Mus musculus: one gene and its partners. The protein of the gene in region 4 purifies or fractionates together with the protein of the main gene of each other region. This does not show direct contact. Links are inferred from orthologs where the notes say so. Each region holds a gene or a part of one and is shown on either strand. Other genes may lie near its edges.

Region 1 (5,994 bases), on a different chromosome or scaffold from region 4:
GGCTGGAAAAAAAATTCTTTTTTTTTTTTTTTTTTTTTTTTTTTTTTTTTTTTTTAAACTTTTTTTTTTTTTTTAAGATTTATTTATTTATTATATGTAAGTACACAGTAGCTGTCTTCAGACCCTCCAGAAGAGGGAGTCAGATCTCATTAGGGATGGTTGTGAGCCACCATGTGGTTGCTGGGATTTGAACTTCGGACCTTCGGAAGAGCAGTCGGGTGCTCTTACCCACTGAGCCATCTCACCAGCCCGGAAAAAAAATTCTTAAAGCTGTAAAATTTTATTACCTAAGGACAAAGATGTCAATTAAAGTTCACTATAAGCCCCCAAACTCCTTTTAGGTCAAATGCAAAAACTGTAAGGTATTTTAACTTGCAATAAACCAATAGGAAAATTTAAAAATTCAAGTATATTTTATAAGCAGTTACTAAGAATCCATCATGTGGTGAGCATTGTTTTAGGTGCCTGAATACAAACATAAGGGAAAAATCTTTGCCTTTAAGAGTTGTATTTTAGTGACAGTTGTCAGGTTTATTTATTTTACTCCTTTACAGGAAGAGTGTTACAGAACTTTAAAAAAAAAAAACGTTGAGGTCTTCACAAGTAGGTTTAAACTGTGTTTTAGGAATTGGCTATTGAATTAAAGTAGCATTTCAGAAATATTTGTTTGAATCTGCATACAGCAAAAGCAGTGAATCTTGTCTTTTTTTTTTTTGTTTGTTTTTATAGTTGGTTTCCATACTTTGCAGCAAAGGACCAGTATCAAGTTTTGGTGAAAAAACATTCTCTTTCCTACCTATCCTCCCAGGATCACTGAACCAGGTGTTATGGGTCGCTGGGCTTAAGGAGTATCACAATTATATTTTCATTTCTTACTTTTTCATCTGAAAAGTTACTTAAGCGTCTTCCTCCTTTTTCCTCCCTCCTCATTGTCTGGAACCTCCCTATTCTTTGTTTTCTCTAGATTACTCCCTTTCTTCTACAATCACCTCCCTTTTAGGTTTTCTTTAGAAACATTTTGATGTTCGATTATCGTATATTCCACAAGGAATAGTGTGTATTTTGCTTCCACTTTCTCCCCTCACAAGTGGTTTTTCTGGGCAGAGGAGCTCTTCACGGCTGGAGGATTTGTGTGTTTTCAGAAAGTGGCACCATTCCCACGGTAATTACCACCATGAAATTCGCAGAGGCTTGAAAACTTCAGTTCAAGTGAGCAAAGCAAAACCACTCAGTTATGGGTTGGGTCATGTTTGAGAGGGACAAGACGGAATTACTGAATGGACCATTTCAAAATGCGACTTTATTAAACAATTTATCATCAAAGCCCCAAAGAACGAAAACTCTGTTGGAGAATTGAAATTTTAATTTGTGTGTGCATGTGGTGCGCGGGGCGAATTTGCAGAAGTTGGTTATTGCCTTCAGGTGATCAGACTTGAAAGTACCAGTTGAGCAGTCTCACAAGCCAGGCAGGCCCTGAAAGACAAAATGTAAAGCTCACCTTCAAACAGAGTTTAGGAAAGGCAGGAACAAGTACAAACTGAGTGGTTCCACGACAACTTTCTCTGCCACCTCAAGCCAGAAACTGGGCATAGGTGCGCGAATGCTGCAAAAGCAGCTTCCAGAACTTTCCAAGCTCAGTAGCTTCCTAAGGGGTGCCATTCGGTGAGGACAACGCTCACCTTTACACCTTTCGCGTCCTGCCACGCCCCCGCGTCGCCTCCTTTTCCCCCGGGGGCTGGGGAGGGCGTTTGTTTACGTGACGTTGCGGAGTAGGCAGGACCCGCCCCCGTCCCCGCGGGCCGCCGCGTTTCCCGCGCCTCGCCGCTTCTCCCCTTAAAAGGACAATAGAGGCCGCGGGAACGCGCGCGGACGCCCTGCCCTCTCCCCGCCCAGCCCGCGGCGCGCACGCGCCCGTATGCAAATCAGCTCGATTCAAGAGAATTTGGTCCCGGGAGCCGCGCCTGCGCAGAGGGAAAGCGGAATCTATACCTCCGTTCGCGGTAGCAACTGAAGAACTGCTGGAGACAATCTTTCTGGACTCGGCGCTGGCGGAGGGAGTGCTTGCAGGAGGTTGGCCTGGTGCAGTTTGCACCGTGGGGACGCTGCTGCGCGTGGAAGGTGAGTGATTCTAGTCCGGACATCGGTGCAAAACTGTCTCCGAGGTTTTGTTTTCTGTGATTTTTTTTTTTTCTTTCCTCCCTTTACCTCCCCCGCCTCCTCCGTCCTTCCCATACACAAACACACAGGAAGTTTTGTCTTGGAGATGGCATTGCGGGGAGCGCTGCCCTCGTGCTCTCCGGACTCCAGATTCTTTTGTACAGAGGCGTTGGAGATGCGCTTCTTAATTGAGGAGGATATTTGAGGTAAACCGAAAGTCAGGGTGTGGGGAAAGTGAGTGCAGCGTGGAAACGAACGAGCTGCGGCGGACTTGCATCCACGCTGAAAGTGACAATGACTTTTCTAGGTCGTAGTGTTTCCTGCAGACCCGGAGAGCAGGGTCGGGGTCGCAGATCCCGTGTGGGCTCTGCTCTGGCCAGGGGCTTGGGCTCCGCGTGCACCCGCGTGTTGCGCTACCCCGGCGCTCGCGACGGTGTTTGCACGCGGGTGAACAACAAAGCCGGAGCTCGGAAACTAACTTGCCAGTTCCTGGAGCCGGCGGCCACACAGGCTGAAGGCAGCTGGTGAGGGCCAGCGCCGGGATGGCGCGACGCACGCGGCGTGGCGTTGTTGGAGAAGTCCGCAGGGACGCGGCTGCGACAATGAGCGCGCAGCACGCGGTCTTTGCACTCGGCCGGTGCCGAGTGGTCTCTGCAGCCCAAAGTTCGCTGTCCGTCTGGTCACCTGTAGCGTGGGTGCGGGCGACACGGGAGGGGTGGCCGTGGCCCGCGGCACCAAACAGTGCGGATGAAGGCGGCGGCGCGGTCCGCTGCTTGAGGCACCCAACTCTTTTTTTTTTTTTTTTTTTCCCTTTTTGTTGTGTGTGCTTCACCTGACAAGCCACGTGCTTAGGGCCGCGACCGTGCTACATCTCAGTGTCCAGCTCGGAGTGAGCCGCGGGCTGCGGTCGCCGTCGGGGCTGTCGGGAGCAGGACAATGTGATTTCCTGGTGATGGCGTCTTGCCAGTTTCCAAAGCACAGCGAAAGTCGCCAACTCGCAGCATATGCACGGCGGCGGGGACCTCTGGGCGTTTCTCATCCGGGACTCCGCAAAAGTTTGGCCCCAGGGACCAGTGGCTCAGGATACCCGAGCTCGCGTGGGTCCCCGGGCGCGGGTCCGGGTCGCCCCGACGTCGCCGATGCCGCCGGACAACAAAGGGCCGCGTGTGCCCGAGCGGCGCGGGCCGGGCGGGGCGCGGGGCGGCTTTTGTCCCTTAGGTCCTCTCGGAAACTTCAGCGGCGGCTCAGCGAGGCTGTGTCCGTGGGGGCGCCTCGGCCTGCGGGTCACCCATGCGGAGCGACGGAGCGCTGCTCGGCGGGACGCACGCGTGGCCGGGGCTCCGAGGCACGGGAGGCCGCGTCTGGGAGGTCCGTGCATCCGCCTTTGAAGTGGAACTGTTGCCATGTTTGAATTACGTCAGGCCGAGCGTGCGGAGCGGCCCGGGAGCAGAGGCGCGGCCTTCGGGCGGCGCCGGCGGGGCGCGGGCCGTTGTTCCAGCGCAGGTGAGGGCGGCGGATGGCGCGTGGTGCCCGGGGACCCCGGAGCGCTGGGCTCCCTCCAGGAGTGGAGCTCCGCGCCCTACCCAGGACCTCCGACTACACGCGGGGAAGTTTCGGGGCGCCGGCTCTTGCCCCTCTTGGAAGTGGAGACTGAGGAACTGGGGGTGCGTGCAGCCTTTGTGTGTTTACACGTGGGGCGACCGGCGAGGCGCAGGGCAGGTTGGGTTGGGCGGCTTTTAAGACGGAGCAGTTCTGGTAACCAGCACCCCAGTCCGCCTCTTGTTATTTTTCTTCTCACCTTTCCTTATTGCAGGTGAAGAATGACTACGAGCCAGACGTGCACCGTGTCCCCCCTCCCCCTCCATGTTAGGAGTTCGTTTCAAGTAGGCTCTTGGTCTTCTCTTAATGCTTTCTAAAGAAGGATCCGGCAACTTTTTTAGTGAGAGGTGGACGTAAAACTTGTTTCTAGCAGTGTCCGGAAAACATCTGCTTTTGAACTGAAGTTTGTCAGACTTGAAAATCATTTTAATGGTTTTTGTGCTGCAAAACTGAACGCGAAAGTCTGGGGTTCGTTTTTTGAGTCCCCGCAAAGCATAAATGCATTTAAAGTATTCTGAGGATGTTTTGTGTTTTGACCTTAAAGTATGCAGGACTCAGATAAATCTTAGATAACCTTGAGAACTGCTGCATCTGGGGAGTAGGGCCTTTCCGAGATAAAGGATGCTGGGAGAAGTTGCCAGTGTAGGGAGCCCTTGCTAGTTTCACAATTCCTGGGAACTGGGACTGACCTTCTACTTACCCTCTTACACTTTTTTCAAGCTAACTTTTTGGTATGTGGCTCCAGGCATAGCTCAAAAATTATGCTCGTTTGACACATGGATGCTTCTTTGGTATTTGGGGTTTGCTTGCAGTCTAGACATCCAGCCCAGCAACACCATATCTGTTGCGACTTTCACAATTAATCCTGTGTTTCAGTTAGCTTGTTTTCATCTAGATGTGGCCTTGACTGGGAAATAATAATTTTTGAAGTGAATAGAGAGTGTGTCAAGAAAATTAAAAACCTTGGATATTACAACCTTGGCTTTCCTTTGGGTGACTCCAGGGACATGTGAAAATAACATGAGGTACTTTGCAAACATTGTTTTGTTTTTAAGTAGACTACTTACTGCAAGACTTCAGCTTCCTAGGAAAGTCTATACACACATGTAGAACTAAATGATTCTGTTATTATCAAATGATGTTTCTAAGAGAGATTTGAATGAGTTAAGAGAGAAAGAAAAGCAAGGTCTTCACTGCCTTCTTTTATTTTTGTGGGTGGCTGGAGATTTTAAAGAACATCTGTGTGTGTGTATCTTCATATATGAGGCCAGGTGACTATTGGGGATAGTCACCTCAACCACATGAATTTAGGGATCAAATTCAGGTAGGTGGTCAGGCTTCATTGGCTGAGTCATCTTGCCAGCCCTGTTTTAAATGCCCACCCTCAAAACTTGCTATGCTTGTTTTGAACCCCATGATATAGCACCTGTTAGATAAGTGTTGTACCACTGAGCTGCCTCCACAGGTATAAAATGCCACCCCCCTCCCCAAGACAGGGGTTCCATTGTAGCCTTGGTTGTCCTACAAATCACTTTTTAGACCAGACTGGTCTTGAATTTGGAGATCCACCTGCCTCTGCCTCTGCCTTCCAAATGCTTGGGATTAAAGGCCCATGCCACTGCCAGCCAACTAAAATAAACTTTTAAATGGGAAAATATTTTTCTCTTGTTTTGATCTCTCTTTCTCTCTCTGAAGATTAATTAATGTGTGTTGGCATTTTGCCTTTATGTATGTCTGTGTGAGGGTGCCAGATCCCCTGGAACTGGAATTGTGAGCTGCCATGTGGGTGCTGGGAATAGAACCAGGGTCCTGAAGAACAGCTATCAATCTTAACTGCTGAGCCATTCCTCCAGCCTCAATGGGAAAAAATCTGAAGCCAACTTCTTAAGGCTGCTTTGAGGACAATTAATTTCCTATGCCAAGCTTTAGAAATATGTCCTTTGGGGTTGCTTGCTGCTCTTCCTAAAATCTTGATAATGGGATCCCAGCACTCATGCCAGGTGTTCCATAACCACCTGTAAGCTGCAGAAGACCAAACGCCCTCTCCTGGCCTCTTTGGGCACTCTGACACTTGTGCACACACCTACATTGACATACATACAGGTAATTAAAAATAAAAGAAGAGCCGAGCATGGTGGTGCACGCCTTTAATCCCAGCAGAGGCAGGTGGATTTCTGAGTTCGAGGCCAGCCTGGTCTACAAAGTGAGTTTCAGGACAGCCAGGGCTACACAGAGAAA
Region 2 (6,049 bases), on a different chromosome or scaffold from region 4:
CCATTTCTCTAGGAACACCAACGTCCACTAGAAAAACTTTTGATACTGGGGATTAAACAGATTCTTTTTTGTTTGGTTGGTTTTTGTTGTTGTTTTGTTTTTGGTTTTTTTTTTTTCTCCAAGACAGGGTTTTTCTGTGTAGCCCTGGCTGGCCTGAAATTCCTCTGCAGACCAGGCTGGCCTCGACTCACAGAGATCTGCCTGCCTCTGCCTCTGGAATGCTGGGGTTAGAGGAATGCATCATTACTGCTCAGCTAAACTCAGATTCTTTTTTTTTTCCCCCTTCGAGACAGGGTTTCTCTGTATAGCCCTGGCTGTCCTGGAACTCACTCTGTAGACCAGGCTGGCCTTGAACTCAGAAATTTGCCTGCCTCTGCCTCCCGAGTAAACTCAGATTCTTAAGCATGCTGGGAAAGCCAGCATTTAGCGATGCTCACAGCCTTTTTTGAGACTTGGTCTCACTAAGTTGTCCAAGCTGCAACAGGATTACAGCCTTGCCTCTCTCCACTCAGATAAATCCCCTTCTTCATAAATGGCCCTGACTCAGGTTTTTATTTTGTTTTGGTGAAGGACTAAGGATTGAACTCAGATTCCCATAAATGCTGAGCCCCAACTACCACTGAGCAATATCCTAAGCCCCTAGCACTCCTAAGGACGTGAACAGGAAGCACCTTCCTCTGTGGAAGTTCAGATGCGGAAGCTCAGGGTTTTCCTGAGGAAAAACAGGAGGGGCTGGAGAGGCGGCTCAGCAGGTAAGAGGACACTGACTGCTCTTCCGGAGGCCCTGAGTTCAATTCCCAGCAATCACATGGTAGCTCACAACCATCTGTAATGGGATCCAATGCCCTCTTCTGGTGTGTCTGAAGACAGCTACAGTGTTCTCATTTACATAAAATAAACAAATCTTTTAAAAAAAGGAAAAGAAGGCCGGGCGTGGTGGCGCACGCCTTTAATCCCAGCACAGGCAGAGGCAGGCGGATTTCTGAGTTCGAGGTGTTTCTAGAATTCAATTCTAGGTCTCAATTCCCAGTACTGGAGAGAAAAAAAAAACTAAAAAGCAGAGAGAGCCTGATGAGGTTCATATACATAATCCACACGCTGACGCAGGAGGCCATTCTGGGTTAGACAGCGAAGCTCTGTCTTAAAAAGACACAAAAGCAGTATGTCTGGGGGTACAGGTCAGTGGTAGATTGCTGTCTGAAGAGGCACCTAGACTAGATCTCTCTGGAAAAAACAAACACAAATAAAAAAATAAAGCCAAGTGAGGTGGTACAGGCCTGTTATCTTAGCATTCAGGAGGCAGGGGGATTACTACAAATTCAAGCCCAGCCTGATATACAGTTAGTTTCAGGCTAGCAATAGCTGGTGAGGCTGTGTCAAATCCAAATGAGTAGGTAAAAGAATGAATGCAGAAATATGAAACAGCCCCGTTTAGTTAATTTTCTGTAGTTCTCTGGGCCTTGCGCACACTTGCTATTCTGACTTTCACCTCCTCCTCTTTCAGTGTTTGGATACCCAGCACTCACACTAAAACCACTGCGGCAGAATTACGAATCAATTTCCTTGTAGCAAACACCAACATTTGCCAGTGCTTGCCTTAGGTAACCTTTCAGAAACAGTGAACACTAAGCCCCTCCCCTACCTTTCTTCCTACTTATCCAGTATTTACTAAGCACCTAAAGTGTGCCAGGCACCAACAGTCACCGTGGACTGTGGCAGATGCTACAGTATAGCTATGACAGCCTTTGGCCTCGAGGAAATGACAAATTTCTGGGAGAAACGCAAAGAAGCAGACCTTTATAATGGTGTGAAGAGAGTCAAATTAAGGTGTTATGGGAGGTGTCTACACAGGAGCTGGAGCTTGCTGCTACAGTGACAGCTTCCAGAGGGAGACAGACTAGGTGAGGACCAGGCCGCCTGAGATGGAACATTCCAGGCAGAGTGAAAAACAAGTACAAAGACCTAGAAGTGAGAAAAGGGACCAGGGACACAGGCATGTGAACTTCCACTAGACCCAGGCTCCTCTAGCTACATACGGCAAGTTATTTAGGCTTTGTGCAGTCTGACTTTTCAGGCGGAACTGTGAGAAGGGGCCTCTGTTGGAATTCCCAAGGTCAACAAAGGAGGCAGGAGGAGAAACCTCTGCAGAACAGATTGAAAATCCAAGAGTTAGGGTGGAAGGTATTTTCAGAAGGAAGGAGACAACGAGAGATTGATACTGCCAGGCCCCCAGAGAGAATAGGTCATCTTGGATGTAGATGCTTCTAGTTCACACTGGTGTGATTTCTACATCTCTGGTTGCTGCTCTGTAAGTCTTTCCCATGGGGAAGGCATAACTCCTTCCCCCAGGAAGTTTTTTTTTGTTTTGTTTTTTTCGAGACAGGGTTTCTCTGTGTAGCCCTGGCTGTCCTGGAACTCACTCTGTAGACCAGGCTGGCCTCGAACTCAGAAATCTGCCTGCCTCTGCCTCCCTAGTGCTGGGATTAAAGGTTTCTTTGTTTTTTATCTCATATTCTCCCAGTCTCATGTCCGACCACCCAGTGAAATGTGGGTGTTTCATCAGGACAGGGCAGCAGGCTGTCCTACTCGCCCAGTGCAGTGCCAGCTCACTTGATGACTGGGAATTTCTAAACCCAAATTAAACAACATAAACTTTTGCAGTATAGAAACTGGCTTTTCCTTCTTGGCAACCCTACTTGGAGTAACGCTCCTTCACACCCATGCAAGTAATTATAGCGCCGGACCTGCAGGAGAGTTTAGTAGCATTTCCTCCTGCTCTGAAAATCCAGATCTCCAAAACAGCCTCACTGTTCCCCTTTTCACGCCTCAGACCCTCCACACTGGCAATTCCTTTTCACCGTTGTATATACTCTTTCTAAGACGCAGGATGAATTCAAGGATCTCCTTCCTCCAGCTGACTCTGATCCTGACTTCGTTAAATGAAGTCACAACCAATCGTCCCTCCTTAACCCGGGTACAAATAGGGGATATACCATTGCTGAGGGTTGTAGGGAGTGGAAGAGGCACACGGTAAACGCGCGGTGTATAAGCACCTCCACAGCAAACCTCCAGGGAAAGCAGACCCCTCCCTACAGACACAGAGGACAAACTCTGCGGCGCAAGGAACTATCCCACCTCGATCCACCCTCGGAACCGCGGGCTCCTCTCAGGCCAGCGCGCGAGTCGGGCCGGTTAAGTCTCTGCTTTAGCTCCGATCCGGAAAGCCCAACCCAGCGCCGGGCGTGGCCATACGCACCGCAGACACTGGGGCCTCCGGCCTCACGTCCAGGACTCCCGGAGAGCTGTCCGACCCAGGGTGTGAACGCCGCCGCCGTTGATCTCCGGAACAGTGCTGCGCAGGATTCTCTTTCTCCAGGAGGTGTCGACGCTTCCGTGTGCGTCATCAGGAGGCGCCCATTTGTGGCGCTTACAATGGAACCACTGGTGTCCAGGCATGCCGGGATACGGCGGACGGGTCTCCATAGCAACTGGCCCCCAGTAACCCAGGCCTTCAGCCTGTCCTAGCATTGTGGTCGGTGTCCTTGGGTCCACCGCCGTCTAACACGGTGCTCCGGCCCACCACCCCTCGGCTTAGGAGAGTAACAGAGCCAGCTGTGGGTGTGACATTCGTTTATTTACATAATGTCATCCGAAGGCAAATGAGCAGCCCAACCTACTGGAGGGCACAGATCTGGGACTTTAACCTTTATCTCTTTCCTCCTTCAGGGATCTCGGAGGGCGGAGGGCGAAGGCATGAGAGAACGGGAAACGTTCTTAGCACTACATTCTACGTTTTCATCTTTCTTTCCAAAAGCCTCATTTTATTAAACACTCAAGCTTCCCACCTCTAGCCCATTCAAACTTTTTGCTCTGCCGCTATCCACCCAACATGGTTAATAGTAACAATATCATAATAACACTGTAGCAATATTAATAATACTTCACATTTGTACGAAGTTTACAGGATGTTTACACATACAGCGTCTCATCTGAGCCAACAGTTCTGTGAGGTAGGTATTTTCACCTCCCTTTTTACAGACGGCGTAACGGAGGCTCAGAGAAGTAATAGTATTTGCTCAAGGCCACACAGCTAGTTAGTGGTAAAGCTGAGACTTGACTCCCAGCACCCCATAGTCAAGTCCAGTGTTCCAAACCCATAGCTACCTCTGTAAAGTGGAGGCATGTTTCTTACCCCAGTCAGGCCTGGAGCCAGATACTGACAATTCTCAGACCATGGAAGACAAGGACTCAGCATCGGTGGGGAGAGTTGGGGTACCTAGCCTTCAACTCCTGTTTGAACTGGCGGTAAAGGATCTTATTGCGCTGGTTTTCAGCCTCCTTTTGGGGATGGAACTTCAATGCCTCCTTGAATCCCTTATGAACCAGAAAACCTTCGTTCAGCACCTCAAAATTAAACCCTGCCACGTGCAGCTCACAAGCCTGGAAAAGGGGCGGGGGGGGGGGAGGGAGAGATAGAGGAGGGGAGAGGGAAGAGAGGGAGAGAGACAGGGAGAGGTCACAGTGATTTAATCACAATAACTTAATGATATCCCCAGGGCCCACATGATCATCCCTAAAGTTCCACTCCACTGTCCTCAATTCTCCATCATCCAACCACTTTCTTCTTGCTTCACTGCCTCCTTTCCACCAATGGCCACTTCACCCCTGACACGCCTCCAGTCTTAGTCCTACATGCCCTCTCCCTTTTAAGTACCTGGCTGATTCGATTGAAACCATACTGCCGAAAGCGTTCGTCAAATGTGGGCACCTTTCCTCCAGCCACATAAAATGGTTCCCAGGGGTCCCTCCAGGGCACCACGTAGGCAGGTCTCAGCAAGCTCTCCTCTGGCAGGTTGACCCAGCGGGAGTAGTTGGTGGGCGCATGGCAAGGCGTGCACAGCCCATAATAGAAGGGCCGGACTTCGCCCACCTGATAGAGCTGCACCAGCTCGTTCTTGTTCATCGGCATTCGGCGGGACCGGCGGATTTCAAATGCAGGCACCACCAGGGCTGTGCCATCCCAGTGATTGCTCTGATCCAACATTTCCCTCAGGCCTCTCCACAGCCCTTCGCTGGGCACCATGTCCACATCAATCACCAGGGCGTAGTTGGCCTCTTCCCGAGCCAGATTCCTTAACAGGTTATTGGGATAGGAGGTGTTGGTCCCTAGTGCATAATTAATCCCGGGCTGGGCCACCCTGGCTAGCTTGTCAAAGACCTCTTGGCAGGACCGCAGCAGGGCAAACTCTCCAGGTTCTCGGGGGTCGGGCACAGCAGCCTCATAGCGCGAGGGGCACACGAGGTGCATGGCGACCCTGGCGCGCATCTCGGGGCAGTGGCTACTCAGCGCGTAGGCCAGCACCGTGGCCAGCTGCGCCTCCTCTTTGGTGGCCGCGAACACTGAAACGGACAGCGGACCCTCCCAGCGCTCCAGAAGTCCGGACAGGTGTAGTAGGTTGTCCACACTGGCATGCGTAGCTAAGATGACATCGTTGGGGTCCATGGTGGTCTTCAATAGACCCCTGTAGACGCGATAATCGCCGCTGGCATCTAGAACGCCTCCGGAGGCCAGTGCGGTGCGGAGTTGAGACTTTACCTGGTCTACGGATCGCGGAGACGGCGGGAAGAACTCGAAATACTGTTCCTGCTCCTCCTGGCCGTGCAGTCCAGAGAGCAGCGATAGGTAGAGCAGCTGCAGCATTGCCACCAACATGAGCGCGGCCAGCAGCAGCTGGTAGAAGGCGCATCGGATGGCGTAGGACATTTGCATGGCTCTCGGGGATCCCGGCACGAAGCAGGGACCACCGGGCCGTAGCCTCTGCCAGCCACCGCAAGCCCGGATTTACCGCAGCCTCCCGAGCGCAGCCGAGGCCAGCCGAGGCCAGCCGAGCCCTACGCGCAGCTCCTCCCACCATCCGCTCGCCTCCATGGAGGCGCGTGCCAGCTCGCCCTCTGTGAGAGAGGAGGAGCTACTGCAGCAGTGGTTCCTCGGCGCGCGCTTTGCAAACGCTGAACCTAGCCGCGGTCTCGGCGCGCGGCCGAGGACCCC
Region 3 (5,500 bases), on a different chromosome or scaffold from region 4:
GCAGTGAGAGGAGAGCCCCTGGGTACTCTGCAGTGAGAGGGGAGCCCCTGGGTACTCTGCAGTGAGAGGGGAGCCCCTGGGTACTCTGCAGTGAGAGGGGAGCCCCTGGGTACTCTGCAGTGAGAGGGGAGCCCCTGGGTACTCTGCAGTAAGGGGAAGCCTCTAGGCACTCTGCAGTGAGAGGGGAGCCCCTGGGTACTCTGCAGTGAGAGGGGAGCCCCTGGGTACTCTGCAGTGAGAGGGGAGCCCCTGGGTACTCTGCAGTTTTGTTTTGGTGTTTTGAAATGGTCCTACTGTGAAGTACCAGCTGGCCTAGAACTATTATTGTCCTGACTCCACCCCTCCAATGCTTGGGTTATACGCATGCCTAGCCTTGGTTTTTGAGACTGGGTCCTAGTAAGTAATCCAGGCTAGCCCAGAGCTCATTACATAGCCCAGTCTAATAGGACCTAGGTAGCTATATCCTGTCTCAGCCTGAGGGCTTACATTCTAGGCATGCACCACCAGACATGGCAAATCAAAGTTTCTGAAGGAACTTCACTGTTCTCTTCTGTGGCCAAGATCTCTAAACACCCGCTGTGGCCTAGTATCCCTACAGTCACTGGGCTCTGGCCAGAGCAACTTTGGACTCATTGCTAGTACTCCAGTCCTTACACTCTGCCTTGATGGCATTGGCATTGATAGGTGCATAGGGTCTTCGGGCAGCCCTCCTTGGCTGTAATAGATCTCGGCACATTCGTCTGGCTAGACGAGTTAGCTTTGTGGTCTGGAGCAAGAAAGTTTGCCTGTTCTTAGCCAGCAACTTGGCCCGGTTAGCACTGGTTGTATAGGGGGAGAGACTTTGGGCTTCAGGTCTGGATAAATGACCTCTTGAGTGTGGCTCCTAGAGGAATGACATATGAAAAAGAGAAATCAACAGTGCAATTCTGTCCTCTGTCTCCTGCAGACAGCCAACTGTTTCTACCTGACCTCTTCAGTGAAACCCCGCCCAACCATCCTGGCTTCCCAATACTTAGCAGGTGCTCCTACGCATTTGAGTGTCTCCATGGAAGAAGAGGTCAAAGGTTTTCTGGCCTTTGCCTAAAGCACTCATAGGACCACTACTCTCCCCATCCCCACGTGTTCTTGCAGTTATTCTTTTTTGTTTGTTTGTTTTTTCGAGACAGGGTTTCTCTGTGTAGCCCTGGCTGTCCTGGAACTCACTTTGTAGACCAGGCTGGCCTCAAACTCAGAAATTCGCCTGCCTCTGCCTCCCGAGTGCTGGGATTAAAGGCGTGCGCCACCACGCCTGGCATCAGTGATTCTTTTCTATTTGTTGAGACAATATCTAAGTATGTAGCCCCAGCTAACCTGGAGCTTGCTTTGTATACCAGACTGGCCTCTAACTCACCCACCTGCCTCAGTCACCATGCCAAGTTCCCACCCACTGATTCTTACTGTGGTGCCCCGAGCAGCCCCTTCAAGTTGGGTAGGGGTCTTCAGTCCCCCGTATTTCTTCCAATAAATCCAACAGGAAGCACAAAGTCGGCACTGCATGTTAGGGGGTCCCCAGGCATACCACTGGGCAGACTGTGTGGCTACAAGAGTAGAGAGAGAAGGGAAATTTGCTGGCAGGAAATATGCCACCCAAGATCCTCAAATTCCCAGGACAGAGAATAAGCCACCCTAGGACCACCTATCCCCAGCAACCCTGTCCCCCCTTGGAACTCACTGTGGCAGCTCTCACAAGTCAGGCCCTTCTGGAATCCAGCCCCATTCATGCCAGGTTTTGAACCCACAGAAATGATCTGGTTAGGGTTTGGCTTGGTACTAATGAACGAAACAAGAGGAGAAGACAGAAGCTAGTTAAGAAAACAACCCACTTGTGTCTCTCTTACCACCACTTTACTTTCTATTTCCGACTCTCTGGAGTTCTGGGGATTAAGCCTACAGCCTTGTGCATACTAAGCCCATGCTTCTCACTGAGCTACAGCTTCTACAATTGCTTCTGCTTCCTGGTTACCCCCAATCATTAAGGAAGACACCATCTCCCTTTCTGCCACACTTACTAAGTGGGGATGTAGACCTGTTTCAGTTTGCTGTCTGCTTCAGCAGCTTTCAATCTTTTCTGTAAGAAGGAGAAAAACAGAAAGAAATTCAGAGCATCTCAGTACAAATTGAAATCAAACAAAAGAAACAGCAGAGAGGTAAGCAGATAGCCTCTGGTCCAGCCTCCCAGCCAGCCTGACCCATACCTGCTGAATATACCGGTCTGTGGTTTTCCACATGTAATAAAACTGGACTATGCTTGCAAGTGACTTCCAGGGTAGCTAAAAAGAACAGCAAACAGGATGAGATGGCATGTGATCCTAGCTCCATCGTCGTTCTCCCTCCTCCTAGTCCTGTTCACTTACAAAGTCCTGGCGGATATCATTGAAATCCTTCCCGTACTTCTCCAGAGCCTCTTCAAACAGCATGGCTTCAGAAGCAGACCATTCCTCCATCTCATCCCGACAGAGCACCGGGCCTCCCTGTGGTACTAGGGTTGACATAGCCTTGGCCAAGTCATAGCCATTCCTTTGCAAGGTATCCATGGCATGGAACTACCAAAAATATAGAACAAAGCTAAGGACTTGCTACTCTTTAAGCACCTTCTTCAGGACTCCCGCCCTCCTCTCCTGCCTCAACACGCCCAACTATCTATCAGCTGGCACTTACCAGAGTGATATCTCGGGACGCAGCAGCTGCACTCATGTGCAAGCTTGGCTGCCGAATTGAGCTGCTGCAGTCTAGGGCTCTCGCGAAGGTTCCCACAGCTCTAAAGAGAGATTGAGAAGTCAAGAAGGGTTCTCCCCTTCAAAATTCAAGCAGGTTCAGGAACTAATTAGAAAAAGAAAATGCCCAGGCCTAAAACAAAGCCCACTTTAAAAAAAAAAAAAAAGAAAGAAAGAAAGAGAGAGAGAGAGAGAGAGAGAGAGAGAGAGAAAGAAAGAAAGAAAGAAAGAAAGAAAGAAAGAAAGAAAGAAAGAAAGAAAGAAATTGGATGAGACGCAGAACTCAGTCCATTCCTCCCCAGCCCACCTTCCTGATCCACCCACCCTCACCGGGCCACCACGAGAAACTGATCAATCTGCCGGTCTGTGAGAGGGTTGTCTGGGTCCCAGACTTTCATCTCCATCTTCTGTTGGTTTCGATTATCTGATTCTCCTGAGGAAACAACAGAATCACCACGGAGGGAGAGAGGGAAATAACTCATAGTCACTCACAATGGCTCTTTTTCCTCTGCTCTGCTTGGAGTCTATCAGACCTCAGAACTCCCCTCCCAGCTGTGCCCACTTGTCTCTCTCATGTTCCTAAGTCTCACCCTGTCAGAGCCACAACACAACACCTAGCAGATTCCACACTGGTACCCCAAATCAAGCTATCAACAGAAACTTTCATGTTCAAGCACTTCTTGTTCTGTTGCTTACCCTCTGCCAAACGATCTGGGATCTCAGCTTGGAATTTGCAACCAACTCTGATCTCCCCTTGATCAGCCAGAAGTGTCTTCTGCACAGGATCAAACACCAGTGAGTAAAAAAAGCAGTCCTGAAGAGGAAGAGAGGAGGTTAGTGGGAAGGAATCTGCATGGACAGTAAGGTCTCTCCAGACACAGACACACACAGACACACAGACACACACACACACACACACACACGGCTGTGAGGTCCGTGGCCCCTTTACCACCTCACTTGCCTTTAGGGGCAACATTCTCTCACCTCCCTCTTATCCCAACAGCTCCTCACCTCCTTGTCTAGATACTGGTTTAAGATGTCTGTCTCGTTCAAGAGAGTCACGCTGCACTTCCCCCTAAGAAAAAGGACAAACCCAAAAGTCCTGGATGAGCAGCCCTCCTTACCTGCCATCTCCAATACACCACCCCCTTCTCTCCATCTTCTAAACAAGGGCACATAGACCACAGTGACCCTGATCGTCCTATACCTTATGTGGGTGGCTGGTAATGATTCAAACTGCCGAGAAAGAAAAAGCTCTCGGTGCTTCAGTTGATGTCTCTGCTGCTCGGAGACCCCTGGCTGTTTTGATTCCTCCTCAAACTCCCCTAGAATAGTGAGGAAAAACCAAGTCATAAACTAATTCAGAAACAGGTACCTTAGCCAGCTAGCTAGTCTGGTAAAGGAGAGCCTACCTCAGCTGCTGCCCAGCACTGCTTTCCTCGGGCAGCTCACTCTTATCCTACCAGCCCCCCCTTTCGGCCTTACACCTCAGTGTAGATGTTCCATCCTCTCTTTAATTCCGTCAAAGGAATTATCCCATCCTTATACTGTGAGAGTATAAGGATACCACAGAAATGCACCCAACCCTAGCTGCCAACACGCAGAAAGCACAAACAGAGCCATAATACAGTGTGACATCATATTTAGCTCTTTCTTGCACAACCAGTCCGAGGTCCTAAAATCCAGTTAAGAAGAAGTAAAAATAGCACACATGGTCGCTGTTTATTTACCAGCTCCTCTTCATACTTCAGGACTCCTTGCTGTGTCTGAAACATCACATGCAACCTAATGCTCCTTCTCTTTCTACTTGGCTAATAATAGTTTGTGGGCTTTCAAGAAGGGCAACTCTGAAACCAGTGCCAACACCTTCCTCACCAAGAGGCACCAAGAGGCCTGCACTGAAATCTCCGTAGAAACAGTTAACCTGGCTAAGTGCCAACCAAAGTAGAAGACAGAAACCTCAGGCACATGCTCATCGGTGCATTGTTCCCCTGAAAAATGGGGGTACAGATTTGGGGTGGGGGTGTCCGTGTCTCTCTGTGCTCTAGGAAAACCCAGAGGTAGGGCAAAAAGAACCACACCCCTACCCCTTCTGATTGGATAAGGCCAAGGTCAGCCCCTGCCAGATGGAGCCGGAAACCCCAAAGGGCCAGGAAACTTGGTAGGCCCAGTTCATTAACCCTTTCATGACTGCAGCCTGAAAAAGAATCTAGGAGGGAAAAAGGGAGTTAAAAGAAAACTAAGTGATGCGGGTAGTGCTGGCACACGCCTTTAATCCCAGCACCAGGGAGGCAGAGGCAGGTAGATTTCTATGTTCAAGGCCAGCCTGATTTACAGAGTGAGTTCCAGGACAGCCAGGGCTACACAGAGAAACCCTGACAAAGAAAAAAAAAAAAAAAAAAGGAAAGAAAAAAGATAAAACTAAGTGAAAAAAAATTACAATATAAAGATCATAGAGAAAATGCAGACAAAGCAAAAATAAGTAAAAATGACACTAACTGGAATGGAGAGGAAAAATGGTGAAGGCAGGGAAGTCCAAGAGAACTGCTCCTAGCTTATCATCTCTATTAATGTTTTGGCATCGCCTCCAGACTACAGCATAAGCCTCTCTGTTATGCAGACTTCTCAAAACAGTATCTTCCTCTTCACCTTGGCCATCACTCACTAACCACTGTCCCAAAGTACCCAAAATGTCCCCGAGTGCCTGCTTCTCTAAAGCTCTTTTCATTTCCTATCTAAATATCTCT
Region 4 (4,659 bases):
CCATTTCCTTCAGAAAAGGGCAGGCCTTCCAGGGATATCAACTGAATGCAGCATAAGATGTAAAAAGACTAGGCACAAACCCTTCTATCAGGACTGCTAAGGCAGCCCACGAGGAGGAAAAGGATCGAAAGAGCAGGGTCCCACTACTATATAGCTCTGGCTGTCCTAGAATTCACTACCTCATCTAGGCTGCCTCCGCCTCCCAAGGGCTGAGATGAAAGGTGTGTGTCACCACACCTGACCTGTACTTTCCTAATTAAAGCCATGCTACTGGATATGAAGTGGGCATGTGTTGTTTTGACACAGCAAAGAAAAATAGAAAACAAAACATCTTGTCCCAGAGGTTTCTGCGACACTGCAATAAGCCTTCCACGATGCCTAGAATCAAGGCTTCCACTTCACCAATGTTCTAATGACATTATAAGTGGTGCTAAGAACCAAACACCAGCTGCTTTATTTTCTGGTCAAGAATATAACCAGAACCTTAGTAGACTCCCCTCCTTAACGAAGCAGTACTGCAGCTGTGTTCCTCTGCTGGAGTCCTTTGGCAGCGGCTAGAGGTAATCTTCAGCATTACATCTCAGAGCTACTGGCACTTACAGATCAATGTCATGAGTGCCGCTGTTCACCTTGCTACAACACAGGACAGCTTCCTACAGCCAAGACGTCACGGGTTCAAACCTTCACCTTGAAGAAGTCTGAGCTACATTGCTGTCTTACCCATTTCCAGCCTGAAGTTTGCAAAGCATCCTTAGGACATTTTCCTGGAGCTGCTTTCATTTTTGACGTGACAAGCTAAGACCCTGATGTGTGATGCTAAGCTGTTAGCAAAGCAATATAATTCCAAGAGAAAAAGACACTACAAATAAAGCACTGATGGAATGAAGCCCAGGTAAATATAAAGCAATACCAACCCTTAAACAATGAGTTCATTATACACCCTGACTTCTCCAACCTCAGACAAGTTATGGTTTCATTTTGAGACAAGGTTTGCTATGTAGCGTGGTTGGCCCCTAACTTGTGCTCCCCCTGCCTCAGCCTCCAGGATGCTGGGATTATAAACAATCACAACACACCAGTTTTATTACCATCGGTTTGGATGTGCGAAGCCAACAGCAGAGTGTGAGTTCATTTCTATGTTTATATCACATCAGTCTGAAGAAGTAATTAACTCCAGTCCTCATGGCCACTTTCAGCAAGCACCATGCTTGACTTTGCTAGGAAGTTGGGGTGTATGTGTTTGGAAAAAGAAGGGCACAAAACCAATTCTTTGTTTCTGCATAGGTCTCCAAGGAAGAATACCAATACATAAGGGGAAATTTAAAAGTGGTTGAAAAAAATCAATGGAAGTCTAATTTTCAAATTTGCTAACATACATCACAAAGCACTTTACAAATAATGCTAGCCTGGTGGCGGTGGTGCATGCCTCTAACCCCAGCATTCAGGAGGCAGAGGCAGGAGGATCTCTGAGTGTGAGGCCAATCTGGTGTGCAGAGTGAATTCCAGGGCATCCAGGGTTACACGGAGAAACAAAACAAAACAAAAACAAGAATGCTTAATTGCAAATCAAATCCACCTAGGGAAGGTGAGGGGGTCATGTCTGTCATTCCTGCTTTACCTTTAATTACTTGGAATTTGTAAGAAAAGCTTACAAAATGACCTTTATCTGAAATCTTAATACCAGTCCCAAAAAGTTTAACACAAAAACAAAGTTTCATAAAATAAACAGGCTGAAGCAGCTATAATAGTAATAACCTTTATTTAAAATATGTGTAATCTAGGAAGCTCAGTTTATGAGTTTCCAACTAATTATTAGAATCAAAAATGACAACAACATTAAAAAAAAAAAAAAAGTCAAAGTAAATCCTCGGTAGAAAAAATACACAAGAACATTTCTACATCTGAAAACCAGTAAACATTCTTTCCAGGCAGACATCTATGGGCTAGTGTGAACAGCATCTCTCCTAGTGAACACCACTGTCGGCCTTGAGATCCGATTTGTTCTTGTCGTTCCTCACTGAGTAGATGAAACATGTTAAGGTGTCTTTTTCGTTCACTGGAATAGACTTAAAGTGGCAACCAACTATCTACAAATTAAAAAAAATGGACAAATTAAAGGTTAGATGTAGCAGATGCTGTGAGCTGAGTAAGATACAACTTTGCCAAAGTGCTGTGTGACCACAAGATACTTTTAAAGATTAATCTGTCTTAACAAAATATTAACAAGCTCCAAAGCACATAAAAACAAGATATTATAAACAAAAGACAGCCTGACTTCAAAGGATCCGTTAGTCTCCACAATTAATACACTCTTTGAGTATTTTACCCCCTTTGGTCTACTTAATTAATGTGCACTTGTTATAAGTATTTTCCTTTTAAACTTTAGTTTGCAAACTACATATTCTTAAACATTAAATATTAATGAAATAAAACAAAAAAACTAATGTCCATCATATGAGGGAGGGCTTAGACTGTATTCATAGAAAAAGAGTAATATAAGGAAAAAAAATTCTTGGTAACAAACTGTACCATAAATACCATTGGTACAACTGATATTAACTCTTAAGTTTCTTGTAAATTTTTTATGAATAAAATTTAAGAATGGAAACCTCAAGGAGCTAGAAGGATGTTGGACTGTTTTCCTGTCTTTTACTGCACAGTTCTAACATGTACATCAGAATAAACAGATAAGAAACTGAGCTGCTAATACTACGCATGCTCAGACTCAAGACTGCCTTTTTCTAGAATCCACTGAACTACAACTGGTTTATAAGACCTGATTTTAAGAGCTTGAGATTTAGCCGGGCAGTGGTGTCGCACACTTTTAATCCCAGCACTTGGGAGGCAGAGGCAGGTGGGTTTCTGAGTTAGAGGCCAGCCTGGTCTACAAAGTGAGTTCCAGGACAGTCAGGGCTAAACAGAAAAAGCCTGTCTTGGAAAACAAAACAAAATAAAACAAAACAAAAAAAGAGCTTGAGATTTGAGTTCTATATTTAAATACAACTTTGTATCAATTCTTGGCTATTTGTTATAGAATAGGGATAATTACACTAGTGTCTATTATATTTTCATTATAGTAGGGAATGTCTATATATATGTACTGTGCAGCAGAAAAAGGATGATAGCTTTGAAATAAATTTAAAGAAAAATAGTTTTGTTGCCTAGGCAAGAAATATAGAAGAAAATTTGGCTAGTTAGCATACTGAATTTTAATGTTATAGAGCTTTCTAAAAAAATTCTAACTCATATTTATCATTTATTTATACACATTGGAAATGTAGGCTAACTACTAATGTCATGCTGAAGAATATAAGAACACTCACATAAATATATATGTGTTGATGCATACATACATATTTTGATCTGTCTACTCAGTGGAAATGTTTGCTTTAGATATAAAGTATAATTATTTAAATCTGTATTTTAAAAGTTCACAGATTTTTGTGGCTTTATTACTTCAACACACACACAAAACTAGCTTCCAAAACATACCAAAGGAACTGAAGTCCCATACCAAGCAAACTTTAACTTTAACATAAAGCCTTATTTTTGTTCTTTCTCTTGATGTAAAGAAAGTATCCTTTACTTAAAAACAACTACTAACAAAGGCAAGTGTATCTCAAAGTAAAATTAGAAAGCAAGGGAAATCCTGTTTCAGGGCTCACCTGCAGAAACTTTGAAAATTACATTCTAACAAATACTTGTAAGCTTATTTATTTTCCATCCCTCAATGGAAATATTCCATTTATATTCCAATCCACATGTATAGTCCATCCCTTTAAAACAAGATTCTAGAACAATGATTAAAAAATTCTCATTGCTTACTCTGAAAAATCAACATTAAAAGACACTGTATATACTCTGAATGTAATCCACTGAGCACTCACTGGAGAGCTTTCCTAGGTGGCAGATAGATGTTTCTAAACAACTACATTCCACAATACACCTATTAACTTTTACTTTACTACATGCAATATACTATTTAATATACTACATTCATCTATTTCATCATCACTTAATGATACCTTGTTGGTGTGAACAGGATTGTTTAAACAGTATAAAGCTTATTTATATATACCTCAACAAGTTGTGCTTTATTTAGACCTGGTCTGGTTGGAAGCTTGAAGTGTCTTTTGTATCTTCTAAGTGTATTTACTTGTAATTGGTACAAATCAACCTAGAAAAAAAAAATAGATGAGTTAGTTCACTCTGTTGAAAAGATATCATTGATCTGTATTATGACACTTCACACAATGACTTCATTTACACACTCAGACCTGTACTTTATTAAACAGTTCCATCTTTGGGGGATACATATTGTAAACTTCCGGAGAAACAAAAGAGGAAGTTGTATGTCAAGAGCTGTAAGAATGTCGTCTGAGATTTAATATTAGTATAAATACATCTTCACTGACTGTATATAACTTTTGAGATTTTTCAGATGCTTTAAACAGTTAAAGAAGAGCTCAAATATTTACAGAATGGTGTTGGGATTGCCAGCATGCTTATGATTTACATATAACATGGGGAAAAGCCTGCCATCTACCTCTGGAGTGTCGATGTCCTGAACAGGCGAGTCTCCCCCATCATCATCGCTTCCTTTCCTCTTCCTTCTGTTCCGAACGCTCTGAATTAAGTTCTTATGATAGTCACAAATGT

The links.
Region 1: the proteins of Sap30 (region 4) and Sinhcaf purify together in Homo sapiens (affinity purification with mass spectrometry; 4 studies listed by BioGRID and IntAct, counting the BioPlex papers as one, with this or other methods). This does not show direct contact. The link is inferred for Mus musculus from reciprocal best matches to the Homo sapiens genes SAP30 and SINHCAF.
Region 2: the proteins of Sap30 (region 4) and Brms1 purify together in Homo sapiens (affinity purification with mass spectrometry; 3 studies listed by BioGRID and IntAct, with this or other methods). This does not show direct contact. The link is inferred for Mus musculus from reciprocal best matches to the Homo sapiens genes SAP30 and BRMS1.
Region 3: the proteins of Sap30 (region 4) and Mta2 purify together in Homo sapiens (affinity purification with mass spectrometry; 3 studies listed by BioGRID, with this or other methods). This does not show direct contact. The link is inferred for Mus musculus from reciprocal best matches to the Homo sapiens genes SAP30 and MTA2.

What each region holds. Positions count from the first base shown.
Region 1 is NC_000072.6:148,942,416-148,948,409, reverse strand, and holds the start of Sinhcaf (SIN3-HDAC complex-associated factor), read left to right. Parts: upstream 1-1,939; 5' UTR 1,940-2,118; exon of another isoform or gene 2,119-3,821; intron 3,822-5,994. UniProt on the Homo sapiens protein: Subunit of the Sin3 deacetylase complex (Sin3/HDAC), this subunit is important for the repression of genes encoding components of the TGF-beta signaling pathway.
Region 2 is NC_000085.6:5,038,698-5,044,746, reverse strand, and holds the start of Brms1 (breast cancer metastasis-suppressor 1 homolog), read right to left. Parts: upstream 3,385-6,049; 5' UTR 3,257-3,384; exon of another isoform or gene 3,136-3,256; intron 1-3,135. Other genes in the region: B4gat1 (beta-1,4-glucuronyltransferase 1), read right to left, coding at 4,249-4,440, 4,715-5,770. UniProt on the Homo sapiens protein: Transcriptional repressor. Down-regulates transcription activation by NF-kappa-B by promoting the deacetylation of RELA at 'Lys-310'. Promotes HDAC1 binding to promoter regions.
Region 3 is NC_000085.6:8,944,334-8,949,833, reverse strand, and holds part of Mta2 (metastasis-associated protein MTA2), read right to left. Parts: intron 4,079-5,500; coding exon 3,961-4,078; intron 3,829-3,960; coding exon 3,765-3,828; intron 3,568-3,764; coding exon 3,450-3,567; intron 3,187-3,449; coding exon 3,084-3,186; intron 2,798-3,083; coding exon 2,698-2,797; intron 2,583-2,697; coding exon 2,394-2,582; intron 2,310-2,393; coding exon 2,235-2,309; intron 2,108-2,234; coding exon 2,049-2,107; intron 1,810-2,048; coding exon 1,712-1,809; intron 1,578-1,711; coding exon 1,438-1,577; intron 884-1,437; coding exon 655-883; intron 1-654. UniProt on the Homo sapiens protein: May function as a transcriptional coregulator. Acts as a component of the histone deacetylase NuRD complex which participates in the remodeling of chromatin.
Region 4 is NC_000074.6:57,480,964-57,485,622, forward strand, and holds the end of Sap30 (histone deacetylase complex subunit SAP30), read right to left. Parts: coding exon 4,547-4,659; intron 4,178-4,546; coding exon 4,079-4,177; intron 2,088-4,078; coding exon 1,965-2,087; 3' UTR 1,739-1,964; downstream 1-1,738. UniProt on the Homo sapiens protein: Involved in the functional recruitment of the Sin3-histone deacetylase complex (HDAC) to a specific subset of N-CoR corepressor complexes. Capable of transcription repression by N-CoR.